Astyanax mexicanus: one gene and its partners. Each later gene encodes a partner of the first gene's protein in a complex. Links are inferred from orthologs where the notes say so. Each region holds a gene or a part of one and is shown in the gene's direction. Other genes may lie near its edges. The genes, in order: smarcd2, smarca2 and arid2.

The links.
Region 2: smarcd2 (region 1) and smarca2 share a complex: the UniProt entries of both Homo sapiens proteins name them as parts of the BAF complex. The link is inferred for Astyanax mexicanus from reciprocal best matches to the Homo sapiens genes SMARCD2 and SMARCA2.
Region 3: smarcd2 (region 1) and arid2 share a complex: the UniProt entries of both Homo sapiens proteins name them as parts of the SWI/SNF-B (PBAF) chromatin remodeling complex. The link is inferred for Astyanax mexicanus from reciprocal best matches to the Homo sapiens genes SMARCD2 and ARID2.

The regions. Positions count from the first base shown.
Region 1 is NC_064422.1:21,924,733-21,932,598, reverse strand, and holds the start of smarcd2 (SWI/SNF-related matrix-associated actin-dependent regulator of chromatin subfamily D member 2), read left to right. Parts: upstream 1-4,824; 5' UTR 4,825-4,957; coding exon 4,958-5,113; intron 5,114-6,467; coding exon 6,468-6,649; intron 6,650-7,866. Other genes in the region: atxn7l3b (ataxin-7-like protein 3), read left to right, coding at 1,157-1,176. UniProt on the Homo sapiens protein: Involved in transcriptional activation and repression of select genes by chromatin remodeling (alteration of DNA-nucleosome topology).
Region 2 is NC_064429.1:18,434,599-18,442,328, reverse strand, and holds the start of smarca2 (probable global transcription activator SNF2L2), read left to right. Parts: upstream 1-4,634; 5' UTR 4,635-4,725; exon of another isoform or gene 4,726-4,760; intron 4,761-7,730. UniProt on the Homo sapiens protein: ATPase involved in transcriptional activation and repression of select genes by chromatin remodeling (alteration of DNA-nucleosome topology).
Region 3 is NC_064409.1:38,201,818-38,208,742, forward strand, and holds the start of arid2 (AT-rich interactive domain-containing protein 2), read left to right. Parts: upstream 1-3,859; 5' UTR 3,860-4,868; coding exon 4,869-4,960; intron 4,961-5,086; coding exon 5,087-5,180; intron 5,181-5,976; coding exon 5,977-6,074; intron 6,075-6,925. UniProt on the Homo sapiens protein: Involved in transcriptional activation and repression of select genes by chromatin remodeling (alteration of DNA-nucleosome topology). Required for the stability of the SWI/SNF chromatin remodeling complex SWI/SNF-B (PBAF).

The DNA.
Region 1 (7,866 bases):
ACAGCACCTTCCAAAAGTATTGGAGCATTGAGAGCTGTAGACATAAAAGGATCTGATACACAGTTTAGAACATTGTGCTTTTTGTCTGACCTCATTTTTGTTATGAGAAATAATATTGGAACATGTGACTTTCAGGTGTATTTTGTTGCCCAGGTGTGTTCTGATACATTGACTGCTCAAACAATAAATAGCTCTGAATGTATATGCTTAGTTTCAGTTTGGATTTAGCCCATGTGGACTGTGCATTTGATATTTAAATGAGTAAACATGAAAAACGAGCAATTGTGAAGCTGAGAGATGATGAAAAATCAATTGGAACCATTGCATAGATATTGTCCATAGCCAATAAAACCACAGCAGTCGAAACATTGTTAATACTGTAAAGAAAGACCATCAAACAACTGCTAGTGGCATCAGCAACAACCTTCAAAAGGTAGGAGTGAAGGTATTGCAATCTACTGTTCGCTGAGGATTTAAAAGCTGGAATTTCCCAAGATGTACAGTGATAAGAATATGGACTGATGAACTTTTACCAATGTGATTGAAAGGCTAAATTTTGGAGAAAGAAAGAATCTGCTCATGATTCCAAACATACAAGCTTGTCTGTGAAACAAAGTTTTCTACTGAAACTTTTGTCTTTCAATTTAAAGAAAGATGCAACCAATCTAATTGGGAGATCCTTCATCATACAGCAAAATGATGACCCAAAACTCACTGCCTGGAAAGCATCGCAGAAGAAGAATGCGAAAGTTTAGTAACGTCAGTGGGTCACAGACGTGATGCAGTTATTGCAAGCACAGGATTTGTAGCTAAATAAGGAATTTCAACTTTAATCTGTATTTAAGTCTATCTGTTCCAATACTTTTGCCCAAAAAAAGAAAAATGGGTGGGTTCCGATAAAAGGTGCCATCTTCTGAACTGTGTATCAGAATTAGATGTACCTGGAAATAAAAGCTGAAATGTTGATCTTTTGCATGATATCAATTTTTAATATCAAACCCAAATGTTTTCAGTCTACAGCAGGTGTGAATACATGGATCAGCCTCACTGTTCCAATATTTTTGGAGGGGTCTGTTTATAGTGTCTTAAATGTGTTTATGTAGATGTTGTTACAGTTTCGTGTTCTAACATCTCACTCAATGAATTGCACATGTAGGAGTGAGGATGACTCATTGACGACGCTCCAAGTTCGTCCTTCAGCTTTGCTGGGCTCAAAGCGACATGAGAAGAACCAAGGGAGTCCGCGTGTGTTGCTAAGAGACGAGTCGTTTCCACAGTAACGACATTGGCAATGGGGGGGGGCCCTCCAATCACTACCCACAATGCCGTTTGGCTCACCTTCAGTAACAAACGCACGACCTGAATTGTGCTGACTGGCGGAAGGGCCATCGATTAGCTTCACCGTTCGGTTTACACAAGTGTTTTCTTTCTCACTCTGTTTCTCTCTTTCTCTCTTTCTTTTTCTCTTTATTTTCCTGGAATATTTTGCACAATGAATCGATGTCGTGTTGATCGTTTTGTCTTGACAGTGTAACTTGATAGTTCTTCAGAGTGGCGCGACCTGGTGGCGTGGAACGCGCACAACAATGGGAAGCTCTCAGGGAGGACCGGGGCGGGGCCATTGGTTTGAATGGCAGGTGGTAGTAAGCAAGTGGCGGATGCCTCCCTTCACTTGAGACTTTTGATTTTTCTTTTGCACGTCTTCACTAGGTCTTAAACGGCTGAGGAGGACGTGTTTTTAAATGATGGCCAAGAAAAGATATTTGCAAAGAACAGGACTGATAAATAACTCATCAATCAATGCTGCTTATTTCACCATTTCGAGTTGTAAGGGGCTTTTTGCACGAATCCACAAAGGTGCATCCTTTTTTTTTTCCTGGTGATCCTCAAGGCAAAAGAGCCGTGTTGACACCTTGAAGAACAATTATGATCTTCTAATATCGCACTCTTACAGGAAAAAATATTATAAAATAAAACTTTGAGACTCTGTATAAACACTTGAAATTGCCTCTGGCAGAAAGACGTACGTATTCCTTTGAGGAGAACGTATCAAGACTAGAATTTCTCCTTTTATCATTTTTTTGTTTCTTCCTTTCTTGGTCTTGTTTCTGTGTACTAGATGTTTACAGTGTAAGGAATCATGTGTGTCTTCACTGTGTTGTAACTGTACATACATTTGACTAGGTGAAAAATGCTGCTATCCTGGCCAGGCCATGAGCCGTATGCTTGTGGACATGTCAACACGTGTAATAAACGATCAGAACCATGTATGTGTGTTTGAGGTTCACTTCAGTACCCTGCTGAAAATAGCCTGGCTAGCTCCACCCTAGCTCACCCTTGTTAAGCAGGCTGACCAGCTTAGCTTGTGACCAACAACCTGAAGCTAACAACCAGGTTATTGACTAGCTTAGACAAGTTTATTGTGCTGCTGGTAGACAAGTTAGTCCATCAAACTCAAAGGAAAACATACGTAATGCTGATCAAGAGGTAACAAGTTACTTAACCCACTTAACCACCTGGTATAGGGTATATTTTCACCTAGATGACGAGCTTTTCAACCAGCTCTTTGTTTATGATAAAAGGGATGAATGTAGGTTGTTAGATGCTAAATAAAAAAGTCAATTTTATAAATGTTGTATTACAGGCTTGCATGTTGTTCCATTGATAACTCCTCACATGGAGACAATGAAAACTGGTACGTTATTGTACAGTTAATTTCTGGATTTCTCCTGTAACTTTTGACACAATTATGTTTAAGAAACTAAGTAAAATAAGTATTTTTCTAAATAATGCAACTCAATGGCCTAGCCTATGAACAGTTATGAATACACACCAGGTTAGGCTAATGTATTGACTGAGGAATTCATAGCAAAATATTCTCCAAAAAGAAGTTAAGAATGTATTTTGCATGTTACTCCATGTTAAACTTCACAGAAATATGCACTGGTTTAGAACACAGGACCTTCTTCCTGTATTTTATTTCATGCTCCCAACCCAGAAAGATCTGACCAATAAGCATATACATGTCACGTTTGTTGTGACTTATTTTTAAGTGCTTGAATTTTTCTCCTATTAAACCAAGTCAAGAGGAAAATGCTTCAAGTTTCCAAATAAACTATAGGTGTGGAAATGCAGTAAGCTGATCAAGCCAAATAGAATAGATAATACACACAGTTAGCCTTGTGATAATGTTACATATTTCATTGCAAATCCCATAGCGAGCTACTTTACATTAGCATTGTCCCTCTGGTGGTAATTATGAAGGTAATTGATGCTGAGATTCAAAAAGAAGTCTTGTTCATCCCAACTCTAGCCCTTTGTCAGTTGTAAGATTAATACCGCACAGCCACTCAACAGAACGGTGACTTCCTTTACAATTCAAACACAAAAAGGGGAAGAACATGGTGGGTACCCAGCATGGATATGATGGCAGCTGTGGTTAGAAACTGCCAGTAATGAATGCAGAAGTAACAAGTACCACCACCAAACAGGAACCACTGGACTTCCAGTGTTTACCATTTGTCTTTGCTTTCCTGGCAAACTGTGGACCTCTGTGCTAACCATATATTCATCGCAGTACAAAAGTTTTTTGAAGGAAACATTTTGGTTGAATTTTATCTACAAGAACAACCATTTTTGTGTATGTTGCTGTTGTCACAGCCATTAAAATATTTCCATATTTTCATCCATTCATCTTGACCCCAAAACATATATCCAACAATCAATCACTGGTCACAGCGCATCATAGCTTGGTGGTGTGTCCACAAACTACAGAAACCATCTGTGAGTGTCTGACCACCCTGCTGAAAAGCGAGCTTAGGAGCCGCTTTTTCATTCTTTAGGATGGTCTAAGTTGATCCTTGGTGGTAAAGGGGGTTGAAAAAACTTTTTGAACATTGGAAAGCTTGGTAATGCTGGTTGATCAGTTTTATTATGCTAGTTATGCTGGTCTTGAATGTCTCCCTACTTGGTCTTGTTGGTCATGCTGGTTAACCATTATAGTCACGTATGTTCACACTGGTTGTTTACCAGCTAAACCCTTAAAGTCACAGAAACAAAGACATTTTATGCTGCTTAAAATCTGGTCAGACGTATGTTAACTAGCTAGCTGTGTACTGGGAAAACATCATAGAAGTCACTACCACCCACAGTGGTGGTTATGAACATGACCTTAGGGGAATCTGTCCAATTGAACAGACAGGCTACTCCACATTCATCGCAGGAGGTCCTAGACTTATATCTTGCATATATCATGTTCTTTAGCATCCATGGGACAGGACAAAATAATTGAGACAATACAATTTCCTGTCCCATGACATTTGGCATGTTTATATATAAATATTCTGTTTTAGACATTTTTTTATTTATTGTGTAGTGTTTGTTATTATTATCATTATTAATATTGAAGTAGTGGCAGTGGTTCTTGTAGGTGTTTTATTCTAAAATTTATATTCCTTCCCTTTGTTTTATATATATGTGTGTGTGTGTGTGTGTGTGTGTGTTTGTGTGTGTTCATCTTAGATTAAAAAAATGTGTAATTGTACAAGCACATATCATTAATGATAATAATGCTTTTTAAATGTTGATAGTACTCTCTGTGAGGAATTGATTTAGTAATCAGAAGTGTATTACGCTAGCTAGAAGTGTAAAAATATAGATGTTTACAACAACCGTGTCCAAGAGGCATTCGGTGGGATTATCTGGCAACCCACGGAGGCCCCCCACTTGAACCTCAGCCCTTAGTCATTGGTCAATCTCTTGTAAAACGACTGAGCAACCAATTATAGCGCGGACTGGCAGGAGGGGGCGGGACCAGAGAGAAGGAGAGAGGGAGATAGAAAGAAACAGAGGAAGAAAAGGAGAGAGAGAAACAGAAACAGGAGAGAGAGAGAGAGAGAACACGAGCGCGCGTGTGTTTTATTTAGTATAGTTTAGTTATCGTCGGAGCTCGGGCAGCATGGCTTCCAGACCGGGGTTCCTCCCGAACAGCCCGGCGGGTCCAGGCACCGCGAACCCCGGCCCCCCGGGGCCCCCAGGCAGTGTGCGTATGGCGGGGATGCCGCAGAGCACGGGGGGCTATCGGGGTCTCCCGGTCCCCACTGGACAATACCCGGTAAGCCCGTGTGGTGGCAGCGCGACCCTAACGAAAGTTTGGCAGCTCGCTGAATTCAGTTATTTTCGTTAAATTCTTATTTTTTCGAAATTTAGCGAAGTTCGTTATTTTCGTTACGGCCGTTGGCTGAAATCCCCTCACGCGCTTTTGTCTGAGGGAGCGGCTCGCTAAGCTAACTGACAGTACACACATATACACACAGTCATTACAGCGCGTGTATGTTCATTAATGTCCAAAAACCGTCCTTAATACAGTTACGGATTCATTACCGTGCTAAGAAAATGTCGTTACCGTCTGTTCTGTAATTTAAAGTGCAAAATAACGGGAAAAGTCCGTTTTTAAGATGTTACGGTTGTATCTGCGTTAGCATGAACGTTGACCGAACTTCCGCGTTTAAAGTGAACTGACTTAAACCGATACTCGTTTACACGCTGAAAGAATCGATTTAAATAAGTTAAAAGAAGCGGATTTAACGGGGCGCACAAACGTCAGTTTTGGCATCATGTCATTTCAATGTTTGGCTTTGACGTGATGTTGCGTCACATCTCATAAACAGATGTGAAAACAAGGCTTCGGGAGGGGAATTTGATAGCAGTCTTTCAAATGGACTTTGTCTCACTATTAAAGTGGTTAAGAATAATAGGAATAAAACTATTGTGGTTCATGAATAATTTATATTTTCCTCATGTTCTGTTATTGTGTAGCTTAAGCTCTTTTACCCTTTAATGATTGGAGTTGTCATCCATATACATAATTAATATGGTTTTGGTCTATATTTTTTAACAACCGTTTTTTTTTTCAACAAACAGTACCATTAAATGTTTTCCAAGCTATTGTTTTCTTTACATTTAATTCCAAAACTGTATTTATTTTTTATGAATAGTAAGCAGTCCTCTTCAACCTTATCTGCAGCTTTTATATTGAACATATGTATATGAATTAAGGAAAAGTGTAAAATATAAATGATGTACAGTCTCGATTATCCCATTTTAAAATAAAATTAAAACAGTAATCCAGAGAGGTAGCACCAAATATTAGCCAACCAAAATTATTTAGCAGAAAGTGCTTTCTTACTCAACACTCAGATAATAAATACTGAACAATATTGTGCTTTATTGACGTGTCTGCTGGGATATTAAAATGTTCAGTGTTGAATAATTATTTTAATTGTAGTTTTGTATAAAAAAAAATAAAAGGGGCAAAATTAATGAGTTAAATAAAATGTGTTCATTGTTTGGTCTTTAACAAAAAATGCCTAGAGTCCGTTTTTGTCTCTTTACCTCTTTTATCATTCTGCTGTTTGTCATACGTGGTCCAGTGTTTCTGACCTGTCTGTGTGTGTGCGTGGTTGCAGCGTCCCAGCATGCCGCCCAGTCGAAACATGCCCATGGGTGGGATGGGGCCAATGGGATCCCCCATGCCTGGGCCATCCTATGGTGGCAGCATGCGCCCCGGCATGCCTCAGGCAGCGCTGGACCCGGTCCGCAAGAGACTGCTCCATCAGCAGGCAGGGGGGCTGGTGGGGCCTCGGAGAGGGTGAGTGTTCACTGGAGGTTGGAGTTTAGCAGCAGCAATTTTTTTTATTTAAACCATTACAATGTTGTTTTCCAGTGGCATGTTGTTACATATTAAAGCTTAATCTTTATTTATTATTTACTAGTAAAGAGTGATTAATTATGCTGAATTATTCATTTCTTTTCATTTGCGCAAATAGAACATAAAAAATTTACTCTGCTATTTGTATAACTTCTTCTGTTAAACACAACTTTAACAGGTAAACGAGTGAATTAAACAAGTAGGAGAGGAAACACGGAAAACCTATGCTTCACAGAAGCAGCAAGTGTGTGTGTGCGCGTGTGAGAGAAAGAGAGAGAAAGGAAGGACCAAAGGAGACCAAGGGAGAGGAAAGAGGTGCAAGTTAGCTGTGAGATTTAATCCATATTTCAACATAAATAAAATATAGCCTACCTTCTGAACTCAACAGTAGCAAAACTGTATTTGCATTGCTAAATAAACCTGGTGATACATAATTTGTCTCTGTAAAAAGAGTGATTTATGGGTGAAAGCTAGGGCCAAAATTAGTTAACTGATAAATTTGCTTAAAAAATGTTCTGTGATGTTCTAGAATGTTGCAGACTGCAAAACTAATTGGAACAGATTGTAACTTGCTAGATTTTTGTTTCAAATAATTTAAAAAGCAAACCTACCCTTATGTATTTAGGGCTTTGTGTACCAAACTCATACAGAACCGTGATGTCCAATCCATGATGTGAACCGAACCAAGACTAGCAATGTACCATTACATCCCTATTATTCACTTATTCCAGTTCCACAGCATTTCTGTGGCCAACATTGAATGGGTAGAGTGTGGCTAACACACTTAAACTTGTCCAGCAGTGAAGCAGCAGGAAGGGTTTCCCCACATTCAAAGCCTTGTACATTAACAGAAAAGCTCATCTCAGTTTGATCTTCTAGCATGTGCAAATTGACAGTGGCTTGTCCTTTGGGGCAGAAAGAACTTTTTGTACCCTTCCTCAGAGATGCATTTGTTTCCGCCCTGAAGGGAGGAGTGAAGGCACTGGTGTAAAACAAAGGAAGCTTAACTCTAACACTGTCTCATGATCTAAACTGCTGGATTACGCCGAAAGGAAGAAGTGCTAATAGAGCTGTGCCATCTGTACAACTTTAAAAACAAGCTTGGGAGGAAGATGGATCTATTTTAGTAATGGTGTTTATTATTTGGCAAAAGTCAT
Region 2 (7,730 bases), on another chromosome or scaffold:
CATCTTTAATGACTCTCTTTTACATTAAAGCTCCCACTGTGTGAAAGGAGATCATTAAAGGCCTGGTGCTGTGTGTGTGTGTGTATTTTGTTACTGTGGTTTATCTAAAGGTGAATCTTCGTGTTTGATCAGAGAGACACTGGTTCATCTCAGATTCCCAGACAGTAAGACGTGTTTATTTAAGCTTAGACTAATGGTCTGTGAAGACTTCGCTGGACTAATTTGACCAGTTTAGCAGTAATTATCTGAAGCCTCTGCACTTACTTATCAAAACAATGAATACATACACTTCATTTCATCAAACATGTATCTCCAAAATAGCAACTTTACAGGGGAAAGATAAAACCTTATTAACTTTCAATGGAAGTCAGTGTAAAAATGAGTTTATTTCTGCTATTTCTTAAGAATTTTTATTGGTCTATTCATTAAGAAATTTTGAAACAATGTAGGAGACACTTGGTTGTTAAACCAAAAGAATAATATATATATATATTTTATGATTGTTTTTTTTATTACCTTTAGTACTTTGCATTTTAGCATTTAAATAACTCTGATTACCAATCTTTTATTTGTTGGCTTATTATTATTCTTGTAATTGGTTCTTGTTGTCTTTTACCTTATTTTACCTTATATTTTTTTGTAGTTTATAAATTTTGCTTTTAACTTAATTGTTTCTTGTTCACCTGTTAGTGTATGTACATTAATTTAAACTGCATTTAAACGTAAATTAAAAAATATTTTTTATTATTATAATATATAATATCATTATAATATTAATATAATATTATTATTTATTGGACAATGACAATATGAACTGTATAAATGTTTTCAATGAACAGAAATCGTGTTTTTCACTAACCCAATCTCTATCTAACTGTAGATAATACAATATATAGTACTGTGCATATAGGTTTATTAGAATGAACTAAATTGGAATGAAAATGCTAAACAAAAATTTAATTCACTAATATTAGAATAAATAGTTTACATTCATACAGAAAATAGTGTTTTAACACTACTGTATTCACTAAGACATCTCCATAGCTTTTTTTCCTGGGAACCTGTAAATGTAAGTATTGTTTATCATCATATCAACAGCTGGTTTGGTGAATCAGGGCTTGATTTTAATTCAGCAGACAATCCACAATTCTTGGCTGGAGGGGCATCCAGGAAAAATCTGGGACCAAGCTTTGTTCACCAGACTAACTCAATTCCACAGGAGCTCATCTACTTTCTTTAAAATGAGAAATATCTACTTTTTACATTTTTTTTTGGCCTGTGAATGTGAATCTGACAGCGTTTTTTTTAACTGTGTGAAATTTCAAGATGAATAGACAAATAAAATGTTCTACAATTACCAATCATTTAACATTAACATTTACTGAAAGTGAAAAGGTTTTTTTCCTATTTTCTTAAAAAAATTATCATAATGATATTTAAAATTTTGAAAGTTGGAATATTAATTTGTATACAGTGTTCAAGTTAAGAAATTGTAATACAGCTCTAAAAGTAACATAATGGATATATAATGTAGTTGTTAATATTGGAAAACAATAAAAAAAAAAAAATCTAATCAGGTTTATTGTCACATTATATTAGCACAGGTTTACCTCTTAGTAGTAAAACAGCAAATATTTACAGTAGGATGTTTATGGCCAAAACCTTGGCGATATGATACATATCACGATACAGGGGTTATGGTTCAGCATATAAAAAAAAACTAACAACAGAGTACAACACTGCTATCTAGTGGTCGGAGTTTGAACACAACAGTAAATGAACCAATGTCTGACCCAAAATTAATAATTAAAATTCAATACTGTATTTTTATAAATCCATATAGTATTAAAAATATACAATACAATATTGATATGTTATTACACCCCTAATTTGCATACAAAATTGAATAAGAATATATATACTTCAGTTTGTCAGTCACACACTGTCTTATACAGTTCAAGCAACTTTACAGGAGGTACATCTGCTTAATGAACGTCAATATAAAACCAAAATAATCCAAGTCATTTGAAGTATTTATATTTCTCCATTTATTGTGAAATAATAATAATTTAATAATAATAATAATAATCATTTAAAACTATTTGAGATAAAATAAAATAAGATAAGATAATCCTTTATTAGTTTCACAGTTCGTTTTTAACTATTTTAAGTATTAATAAAAAGGTAATAAAAAAGGAATTCATAATTATAAATGTAAATAACTAAAATATGTAGAATATTTTATTTCGATATTTACATTAATTGAAAAAAAGCTGTATTGCACATTAAGAGGTAAGAGATATGAGTTCTGCATCTAGAAAGTGGATAGTGTGTGGGCACATGTACACTGTAAGTGTGTGTGGTCTACTGGGAGCAGTGCTATTTATACTGGTATTTAAATATCACCAGAATAACATCATGTCCCACAATAACAGAGTTTAACTAAAAATCAAAGGCACATCATAATTTTATTCATACATATATATATATATATACTATATAACAGTCTGTGAATGTTAACTGCCATACTAAATGCTAATACTTTTGAAAGTAATGCAATAATAACTTGGTACACCTGTTTTCACACGTCTATTTCCATATGTTTTGTGTGTGCAGCATGCAGGCTCTCACAACACCTCGGAGTCCTGTATTTAAACATGTGGCCGGAGTGAACCTGCTAAAGGAAACAAGCGTAAGGACATAATCTGTCATTCCACCACTGGCCTTACAATCAACATGCCCGTCTCACCTGATAGCATCGGCCAGGTGTCCTTTACACACATCTCACAACACACACTCTCTCTCTCTCTCACACACACACTCTCTCACATTGCCAGGCAAATTACTGTATGTTTTGGAAAGATATGTTGGTAAACACTTGATGAGAGTACTGGGAAAATATGTCAGATCAGCAAACAGGCACTAAGCATGTATTTGAACTAACAGCAAGTCTATTCATTTATTTATTTATATATTTAGGGCTATTTTTAACATATCATTATCACTAGTTACTGGTTTTCTTGAGTAATATTGCTGTATTCATAAAGTCCTATATGTTGTCATCTGATTTTTTTTTTCAACAAATTTAGATTTGTAAATTAAGCTATTTTGGCTTTTTCTTATTCGTGCTTGATTTATATCATTTTGCACATTTAAACAGCATTATAAAAACTGGATTTCCATAACTGACCATATCAGCATCTTACAACATACATAAACAGGCCATCAGTTCACAGCAGCAGCAGCTGTATTGCTGTACAGATGTGTAGGTCTCTGTCTCCCCCGTGCGGCTGAGACGCGCTACTGCAGCTCAGCGCATTTATAAGAGTCAGCTCACTGACTGACTTTAACTTCAGGCCTCTTGCTTTAATTAGTTAATTAGTGTGGGACATACAGATCTGAAAAAATTCACGAGACCACTTCAGTTTCTGAATCAGTTTCTCTGATTTTGCTATTTATAGGTATATGTTTGAGTAAAATGAACATTGTTGTTTGATTCTATAAACTACGGACAATATTTCTCCCAAATTCCAAATAAAAATATTGTCATTTACAGCATTTATTTGCAGAAAATGAGAAATGGATGAAATAACAAACAAGATGCAGAGCTTTCAGACCTTAAATGATGCAAAGAAAACAAGTTTATGTTCATAAACTTTACACTGCATCTATCAGACTTCCCATATTATATATTATATTACACACTATATATATATATATATATATATATATATATATATATATATATATATATATATATATATACGTATATATATATACGTGTATATATATATATATATATATATATATATATATATATATATATATATATATATATATATACGTATATATATATACGTATATATATATATATATATACGTATATATATATACGTATATATATATATATATATATATATATATACACGTATATATATATATATATATATATATATATATATATATATATATATATATATATTATACAGCATTCTGCCCCTTGTACTCCCCAATCAACTCATTCCTTACCTGCACTTACTCATAGTTATTCTGTTACCTACTGGACTATTTCCTCATTTCCACACACACACACTCTAGATATCTTTTAATCACAGTTTTCATGCATCTTGGCATGTTCTCCTCCACCAGTCTTACACACTGCTTTTGGAAAACTTTATGACAGCTTATGTTCAGCTTGGTTTGATGGCTTGTGATCATCCATCTTCCTCTTTATTATATTCCAGAGGTTTTCAATTAGGTAAAATCAAAGAAATTCATAATTTTTAAGTGGTATATATATATACTTGAATTTGACTATAAAAGCTAAAATACAAAATAATACGCATATGAGGATTATTTTGTATATGTATGAGGACTTTTTTATATTTTAGCATTTATAATGAGTCAAGTTCAAGTTCAACAGCACTCCCACTCCCACCCTCACACACCCTCACACCCTCACACACACACACACTCCAGTAGCGCCACGGTTCCAGCACGTTCGGCGCAGCATAGTGAAAGTGATCACTAAGCCCCGCCACAAAAATACAGGACCGCTTGATTGACGTCCGCCTCGACCAATCAGGCTGCAAAGCGGGTAATATTTCGGCTCGTATCGACCAATCAAAAACGAGCCTTCGCTTAACTTGAAGATGTCAGCGAAAAAAACACAGAGGGGGAGGGGATCCACTAATGGCAGTCATATTTTGAAGGCGAAATAATGCTGTAGGTCCAAAATATCGATTTGTGTCGCCTGTAAGGTAACCGAGTCTTATACTGTTTACCTTAAAAATGTGAATAAATACTGGTTAGTTGGAATAGGGGTCAGGTTTGGGGCTGTGGAGAGGTCTCGGGGGCTGTTAGGGCTCGCTGTGGCATAGCTTAGATAACTGTACAGACGGGGCTAGCTGGCTAACCTGCTAGCATGCTGCTAACAAGCTGGGTACTTCTGGTGTATAGGTAATATAGCGCTAGCTGCGAGCGGGCGGCTGGCTGGCTGTAGACGGGTATCTAGGCTTGCTAGCCCAGCCTTCTTACCTGAGCTGCGCGTCGGCGAGAAGTTTGAGAAGAATACAGACTAATAGTTAGCTGGGATAAATAGTTATTTAGCTCACTCGCTGACTGACAGCAAGCAGTAACTGAACGCAGCCCTGTTTCAGGCTCTTCTGCTGCAGACAGAACTGTCATGGCGAAGTCTCAGAAACTTTTCTCTGCCAGATTTAACGGAACTGCAACGGCGCTGCTGTCCCAAAATAACAACTTCAGGCTAATAGTCTGCTCCTTACTGAGCTGAAACTTAATTACTGCTGAAAAATATATTTAAAAAATCTAATTTAGTCACGTATGTCTCACAAAGTTTCCCTGATTTTTGGTTATTTGCAGAGGTGACAGTTCAAATATGGCAAATTCAGGTCAATACAGTAAAAATCCACCGCAGGTTTTCCTTCCAACCGCCCGGGCTGCTCACTGTCTCCGCTGCAGCCGGTCCGCCCAGTCAGCTGAAACGAAATACCGGAGTGGACTTTTACTTTTTGAACTGAATTTTCCTAATTTGTTTATTTGAGGCCACACACCTTAGGCCTGTAACTACAGCGTATCTACTGCTTTACGATAATTTAGATTCAAATATAGATTCAGAAATAAAATCCTGTGCTGGATTTTTACTTTTTTTGACCTGAATATGTCATATTTGTTTATTTGAAGCCTATAGAGTTTATCTACTGCCTATATAAGGTAATTTATATGCAGAAATAAATTACTGTGGTAAATGTGTACTTTTTGACTTGGATATGCCACTGTTGATACATTATCATGGAAAAAATGAGAGACCACTTCAGTTTCTGAATCAGTTTCTCTGATTTAGCTATATATATATATATATATATATATATATATATATATATATATATATATATATATATAGCAAATTCCTAATTAAAAAATATTGTCATTTAGAGCATTTATTTGCAGAAAAGGAAAAATGGCTGAAATAACAGAAAAACATGCAGAGCTTTCAGACCTCAAATAATGCAAAGAAAACAAGTTCATATTCATAAAGTTATACGAGTTCAGATATCAACATTAAGTGGAATAACCCTGGTTATCCTCTTGTCCTTTTGATTATATTAAATATTATTTTCAATTTGGTAAAATCAAAGAAACTCATCATTTTTAATTGGTTTCTTATTTTTTCAGAGCTGTATATTTATTTATATGCTATGTTTAAGACCACAATGTAAAGCTAGGTCTCTATAGGTTATTACACTGCTCTAGAAATTTAGATAGATGTTTTAATTTTTTGTTAGAATAGACCACTTTTATAATATAGAATTTAGTTGTTATGCCTAAATTGTAGGAACATAATTTTTTTTATTAATATTTTATCAATTGCTTTGAATAATAATTATTTTACTTTAATGTTATGGTTAGGGCAATAAAAACTGATTTGTATTTAGTATTATTTTTGATTTCATTTAAATAGAATACAGACTTGAAATACTCGTAGAAAATAAGATGAAGAATATAGCACACAGCCCACACAAAGTTACCTAAGGTAGCTTGGGGGGAATCGCTATGCACTGATGGTGAGTGTCAGAATTTGGGGGACAAACCCAGTATGCAAATAGATTGTGCCAAAAGCCAATAAAAAAAGCTGCCAGTGGCAACAGACTAAACTTCAACTCTAAGATTCAGCTCTGTCTCAAAATCTCCATTTAAACATATATGTGCCCACAAAACCTAATTTAAAATAGTTGAATGATGTTTGAAATATCCAATTTTACATAAAACAGACCTAATTTGTTTAAGTTCAAACTAATTGTGGGTTTTCTGTGTATTGCTTTAGGAAAATTCTGATTCAGAAATAAAATACAAGCGTGGATTTCTACTTTTTACAACTGAATTTGCCACTGTTGAAAAAAATAGGTAAATTGTTTTCCACTTTTAAAATACATTTTAAAGGGAAAACATTTTCTGCCACTTCTACAACAGCTTAATAAACTGTTTTTTCTATTGGATTATATCCAAAATAAGCTCTTCTTACATAAAAAAACGAGGGAAAATGAGGGAATTGTGAGTTACTTGACCATTACTAATTCAGCAGTGGATTTGAGGTGAAGGTCGTCTAAAGAGACATGTGTCAGATTGTCATTTGGGTCATATGGTTGCGTTGTTATGCAAATTATGTCTTACTTTTTTTAGTAAAACAAAAATACTCATGCATTGTTTCTTTACAAATAAAGGATTTTAGAGGAATTATCATGCTTTTGTTGGAGTAACTATCTCTGCTTTCCAGATTTTTTTTATTTTTTTTATTTAATTAAATTTTTATTATTTTATTTTGTAGCAGTGCTGTGATTTGCTTGTATTCAGGATGTTAAATGAGTACCACCCCACTACATTCCCAGCTTTTGAGTTTAACCCAGAAGTATTTTTATTTTTTCACATTTTTAATGCGTATACTCCTCTAGGCCATGCCAGTAGGTTCATTCTATTGGCAGTACTCTACAGCGATTAGCTGCATGTGTACATTTGTACACCACTGTCAGCAAGGAATACTGGGGAACTTAAGGAGCTAAAAACATTTAATAGAAGGGGTGTCCACTAGGGGTGGGCAATATTATATCGTATACAATATATCGTGACACAGAAATATCATGATATTAAAAATCCATATCGTGATAATAGGACTGTTCTGTCTTAAAAGTAGTCTATTATTTACTGTGAAGCTT
Region 3 (6,925 bases), on another chromosome or scaffold:
CCGGAAGGACTAATTTGCATATGGCGGCCATATTGTTTACATATTTCAACTTTTTCTTAATGAATATTGAAGCGCATGCTCTCACGAGTGTTTTGATACCAAACATGCCAGGATTGGTCAAAATTCCTAGGACTAGTTTGCAAAAGTAGGTTTTGCATATTATGCAAATTAGCAAAAAATCTATATAGACGGAAGTGCATGGTCCAAATTGGAAAGTTGTTGGTATTGACCCAAGGAATCCATCAAAAAAAGAATTTTGAATGTAGGTCTTATGGTTTTTGAGTTATTCAGAAAATTGTGAAAAATGAATTTCCTTGTTTATAGCGCCACCACTTGACCAATCGGTGCCATTTTTGTTGTCCACCGAGATCTACCTACCAAGTTTAATTTCTCTATGACTTACGGTTTAGGCTGCACAACTGTTTTTTCAGGAGAAAAAGAATAATAATAAGAAGAAGAAGAAGAAGAAGAAGAAGAAGAAGAAAAATCTTAGCAAAAACAATAGGGTTCTACGCACCTTCGGTGCTTGAACCCTAATAATGAAGTCATGGGCTTGGCTTAGTAAAGCACTGGAAAGAGATAAGTAAGTTGTGGGCATGGCTTAATAAGAAACAAATAAAATAATGAAGTCATGGGCTTGGCTTAGTAAGGCAGAGATATGAGATAATTAATGTGTGGGCATGACTTTGAAAGACAGATATGAAATAGTTAAATCATGGGCATGACATAGTAAGGCATGGGAATTAGATAATTATTTTGTGGGCATGGGAAAAAGACAAAGTCATGGGTATGGCTTAGTAAGGCAGAGATATGAGATAATTAATTTGTGGGCATGACTTTGAAACACAGATATGAAATAGTTAAATCATTGGCATGACTAAGTAGGGCATAGATATAAAATAGTTAAGTTGTGGGCATGACTTAGTGTGGCATGGGACTGCAGTAATTAAGTCATGGGCGTGAATTAGTAACACACAAAAAATAGATAACTAAGTTGTGGGCATGACTTAGTAAGGCATAGGAACAAAATAATTAAGTCATGGGCAAGAATTAGTAAGGCATGGGAACGAGATAATTAAATTGTGGGCATGACTTTGAAAGAAAGATATAAAATAGTTAAATCATGGGTATGACTTAGTAAGGCATGGGAATCAGATAATTATTTTGTGGGCAATGAGCATGACTTAATAAGACATGGAGAGGAGATGATTAAGTTGTGGCCACAATTTAGTATGTGGAAACCAGATCTTAGACTTACAACTTAATTATTTGTGCCTTAACGCGAAAGGTCAAATTATCTTAAAAAAAACAACCCTGTTATCTTATAAAAGCATTTTGTATTATCTTGAGACTACAATAAAAAATATTTGTGATGCGGGATTGGATTCTTTCAGGATTTTCATGTGATTTTGCCATTTTTACGAAATGACTTTTTTTCTTAAACATTACAGTTAAAATTGTCGTCGCCTCTTTTTTTGTTGTTGTTGCTCTGTTTCACTATTTTCTATATTTTGATATTTGACTGTACCCAGACAGCAGGCGACTCGGATCCGGATCTGTTTTACCTCCAGCAGATCCTTGAGAATACCGGTGTATAACTGGAGGTCAGTCGAGTCATGTTGTGCTGTAGTGCTGTAGAGAGGAGTCAGTGTGTACTGCGGTGGTGTTGGCGATAGAGGGCGCTGTTCACCGCGGCTTAATGACTCCCCGGAGGACGATCAGCACTCTGCTCAACTGTCTTTCTCTGTCCATTCATTCAGGACAGTCACTCTGTGCACTGTCTGAAAGTCAGAATGACACTTTAATCAATGAAGAGCAATAAAAATAATTTATACTGATACTCAAATTTGAAGAAATGCGGTTTTTAAACCAAATTAATAATCGAAATTTAACTAACACACTAATCATAGCTACACTAGTTACATAGATATGGAATAAGCCAATACATTATGCATCAACATCTGCATAGACAGAAATAAAGAACATTTATAACCTATTAAATGTATTTTTATTATACACGTTTTAAACGACTTATGAGGTCCGTAGTATTTATGGACTAAAGAAGCTGGTGGGCAAAAACGGGTTAGCTAGAAACAAAAGCCAAAACAAACACACACAGTATAAATTAATGAATGTTTGTTTATTGGTTATTTATGTATATTTCTGAATAAAAAAAAGCACAGTAGGGTGAATGTGGTCGAATCTCGAAGCTGAATCTTCTCTCAATTTTCAGATTTGTCAATTTTTGTATCTTTCAATACAGATCTGAACTTGCAAAATAATCATATATATATATATATATATATATATATATATATATATATATATATATATATATATATATATATATATATATATATATAGTAAGGGGCAGAGATAAAAAAAAAACTACAATTGGAAAAATGGATGAAAACTTATTTATTGTACACCGCACTTCATTTTTAAAAAATAATGAGTTTTTACATCCAATTTAATATTTTTGCATTTTACCTCAAATGGTCAGTAAATGTAATTAATAAACGTTACACTGGCCGAATGTGAAAGCCTGTAATGATCTGTGGTGGCGGGGTGCAGTAGCTGTGCTCGGGCTGCTGTAATGTATTATAAATCTAACGCTGGTTCACAGTTAACAGCAGCAGCAGTCTAATGGTGGCGGCGGGTCACTGAGTTCAGCCTCCCGCTCGGGTTTCAGACTACACAGATAAACGCAGGACGGCTATAACCCGCCGCACACTCGAATAATAAGAAGTATGTTTACCTCAGAAGCTTAATGACTGAGATAACAAAGCAGTAAATGCCCAGAGAGCCGCGCAGCAACTGAATTAGCTACAGACCTGACTGACATATTAAGCTAAGCGGCTAACGCCAACTAGCTTAGCTTAAGAAATGCTAGTGAGCTAACCGTCGCGGGTGAAGGTCGGCGGTTTAAACGCGGTTTTACACCGAAAACCAAACCAAACACGCCGATATCTAAACCGGTTTATCCCACAGCGCCTCTTAAACTAAACACAGCGGCGGGCTGGATGTCAGAGGATGGGTTTTCGGCGGTGTGTGTGACACAATATGTGTGTGTAAGTGTGTGTGAGAGCTGAGACAGCAGCGGACAGGTTACAGCGGATCTGTAGCCGAGCAGTAGTCGGATCATGTAGAGAATCGTATTCAATGTTTCCACTCCACCTTAAATAAAGTAACAGTTACACTTTAGACACATGTAGCTACTGAAGGAGCAACATATTAATGTAACCGATGCGATATTTAAGGTGGAATTGAAGAGCTGCGGGCAGGTGAAGTTAGTTCATTAGCTGCCGTCTCCAGTGGAGCTGCTGTTTCCGCGGAGCTGCGGCGCGGCTCGCCGGTGCTAGCTAATGTTCCCCGGTGTAACGCAGCCAATTCGCGTTAGAAAAAAGCCGTTTAACGACAGATTTTCCCATTGCCGAAAGCCGTTTCAGTTCAGTCCTCCTCCGTGTCAGTGTGACAAAATGGGGTCTTTGGTGTTGAGCTCCGCCATTTTGTGACAGAGCGCGCTCCGCTCAAAGGGGAGCGTGTAATGGTTGAATGTAGTAAAGCCGTCAGTTAGAGAGATACACGCCTGGCAGCGAGGAGGAGGAGATACCAGGGATCAGCGGCAATTTACACTTACACCAACAGACAGCACTCACTGCTCACCACTGAACACACACTGTTCAAGAACAAACACCACAGCGCGGAGCCCAAAACTCCCCACTACTCAGGTGTTTCTACCTGTACCTGTATGTTTAAAATACATGCACTCATGTTTTTGTAGGGCTGCCCAGATGAACTGTAGCCCAAAATATTAAATTAATTACATAAAAGTAAGACGAGCAGAGGCGAGTTGATGAGGTCTTTATTTTAAACCCAGTTGAGTCAGACTCTTAATGACAAACAGGTTAGGGTTAAATAACAATACATATTGTTGTAAATTATTCAAAACTGTTTAATCTCTATAATTTATTTTTTTGTTTTCATGCAATTGTTTTTACAAGTTTGTAAAAATGAATAACAATAACAGCAACAATTATTATTATTTCCATTCTCATTTAGCAAACTAATCAACTTTTATTTAGTTATATATTTTATTTATTATTTATTTTGTCCCTGTCAGTGAAAATATTTTTTTTCCCCACAGAGATGTATGTAAACTATAAGACCTGTTTTGGTCAGGCAGCAGCGCTGTAACCTGCCGGGGGCTGATGTATTTTTACTCGTCTGGTGAATTTGGTGTCTCCCCCCTCCCCCACAGACGCTCTCCGCTCTGTTCAGTTTTAACGGATCTCGGAAGTTTCAGATGAGCCCTTAAAAAAAGAAATAAAAAAAGGAAAAAACTGAAAACACTGTCTGTCTATTGTTCCGCCGAGGCGCCTCGGCCGGTGCACTACCTGTGCGGGCGGCGCGGGGGCGCTGCAGAGCGGCCAGGGCCCGCGGCCTCGCTCGGGTCTTTTTGTTTGAGAACTGGATCCCGCTTCACAGTGTGTGTGTGAGAGAGTGTGTATGCCGCCGCGTCTGTAGCACACTGTCAAAACCACTCCAAAACCAACACGTCCAGCAGCCAGCACGGTCTTCATTTTTACATCTCGCGCCATGGCAACGCTGGTGTGCCGTTGAATCCGAGCGCTATTCCGATGTTTTGGCCGAAGTTAGAGCGGGCTCGGATCAGGTCTGTTTTCTGTGCGGCTCCTCTCAACAGTCCTCATTAGCTGAGAGCTGGCGCTCTGCTCTCCCTTCGCCGTTTCTTTAACTTTTTAAACACTCAGCCTCGCGAATGACTGAGCGCCGCCGGAGCATGGGATCCCCGGCGTCGTAGGAAGCGAAGCAGTCCGGGTTTTGACCGCTTTTGAGGATCCGAAACGATGGCAAATTCGACGGGAAAAAGCCTGCCCGAGCAGCGGAGGAAAGGACTAGCTTTCCTGGACGAGCTGCGGCAATTTCACCAAAGCAGAGGGTGAGAGGAGGGGGGATGCCTTTTATTCGTCCAAATGTTAAACTTCAAGCTGCTTAAAGTCGTCCGGAGCGGCCGGAGCGTCCAGTCCGTCCTCGGTTAACCGTGTGCTTCTTTCTCTTTCTCCAGGTCGCCGTTTAAGAAGGTCCCGCTGGTGGGTGGAAAGGAGCTGGACCTGGGCGCTCTCTACTCGAGAGTCGTCTCTTTAGGTGGATTCGCTAAGGTTAGTGCGACCAAAAGTGCTCATAAATGCCTCTCTCCGGAGCTCTCGGCGGGGCTTCTTGCCGGCTCCTGTGGCCGCCGGCTCGGCCTGGAGGTTCTGGCGTATTTAACCGATTTCCAGCCCGAGTTTGGGGCTATAAAATGGCCTTGTGTGGTGAAGCCTGTGTGTGAGCGAGAGCGAGGGAGAGGGGGAGAGAGAGAGCGGGTATGAATTGAAAGTCCGGGATGTTAGCGGCTCCGCTGCTCCGCCGGGGAGTGCGAGTGCAGTTTGAGCGACTCCAAACCAGCGGCGGAGGCTAAACATCGATTACCGGCGGGCAGCACCGCGGGCTCGGCTTTCGGCCGCGCTTTTCCACCGCGCTCGCTTGGAGGAAGCTAGTAACTCGCCATAGCCTGTGTTTGGCTTCGTGGCTCAGCTAAACCGTAGGCCTCACAGACAGGCCTGTTTTATTCAGCACTGTAAATACAACATCACACGAGCCCAAATGCCCTCCGCCGCCGCGGCTCTCCACCGCGGGGACGGGTTCGGGCTGGGGGAGCCTCGCTGTCGCGGCTCGGGATTTTTTGTTGTTTAAAAAGTGCGGTTAGCCGGACTGCTAACGGTGGTTAGCAGGCTGCCTGATTCAAACTGCTGTAGCTGGTGACCGGGCGGCAGGCAGGCGAGCACGGTCGGCTCATCAGCTCGCATGTGCTTGTCAAATCGAAGAAATGCCGACTTTATCACGAGCTTTTATATCCTGTGGATGTCCACAGACTCATGGACGCGTGTTTGTTTTGTTTATCTCCCTCTTTTGTAGGTCTCTGACAAAAACCAGTGGTCTGAACTTGGCGAAGAGTTTAATTTCCCGAGGAGTTGCTCCAACGCTGCTTTTGTTTTAAAACAGTACTACCTTCGGTAAGTCAGCGTGTTTCCCTCCTCAGCCATGTGTACACACACTCACTCACTCACACACACTCCAGCCGCTCAGCGGGCCACCGGCGCTCTCAGCTTCACACCTCGGATAAAACTCACTCATTACAACTTTTATCTTTTCGGCTCCAGGAAAGTTTTTGTGTTGTGTTCACGAGGCTCAGCTCAGGCCTTTGTCTCACTCTCTCCGTGTGCTCTTTGGTCTCCTACAGCCGGTGGGAGTTTTAGGAGCCTGAAACTTTAGCATATGGTCTGTTGTGGCTTTGTTTACAGTATAAGAGCAACACCAACAGTCCAATTCTCACACATCAGAACATCTCCCTGATGTTTTTGGTCATTTCAAACATCCAGGTTTTTAAGTACACAAGCACTGCAGTGTTTAATAAAAAAAGTATGTTTTTTACTGCTGAGAAATTAGACTACAAAAGTCCTTAAGTGAGTAAAAAAAATTAAAACTACTGTTTCCTCCTTTTTTCTTATTTAAAGTGTCTGTATGCAGTAATGTGGGTGCTGTGTCTTACATGTGGCCAATTAATTGTAATTCATTTCTCCATCTTTTTAGTATATGTTGTAATGTGAGTAGTAGGTGAGGCATTTTTCCCCCTGACCTTTTAAATAGATATAGTAATGCAAGTGTTATTACTGTGATGTGCTTTTAGTGGTTCAGAGGGGAGATGTTATACTTGCACCGTTTCAAAAACAAAAGGTGAAAAAGTATTTAGCTCTGTTATTTTTGTACCTATACCGGTATTCTGCATTTTTGCACGTGCAGAATAAAGGACTGAAACTGCTTCACAACATAGGAGTGTAGTACACTGACCAGCTCAAAGGCTGGC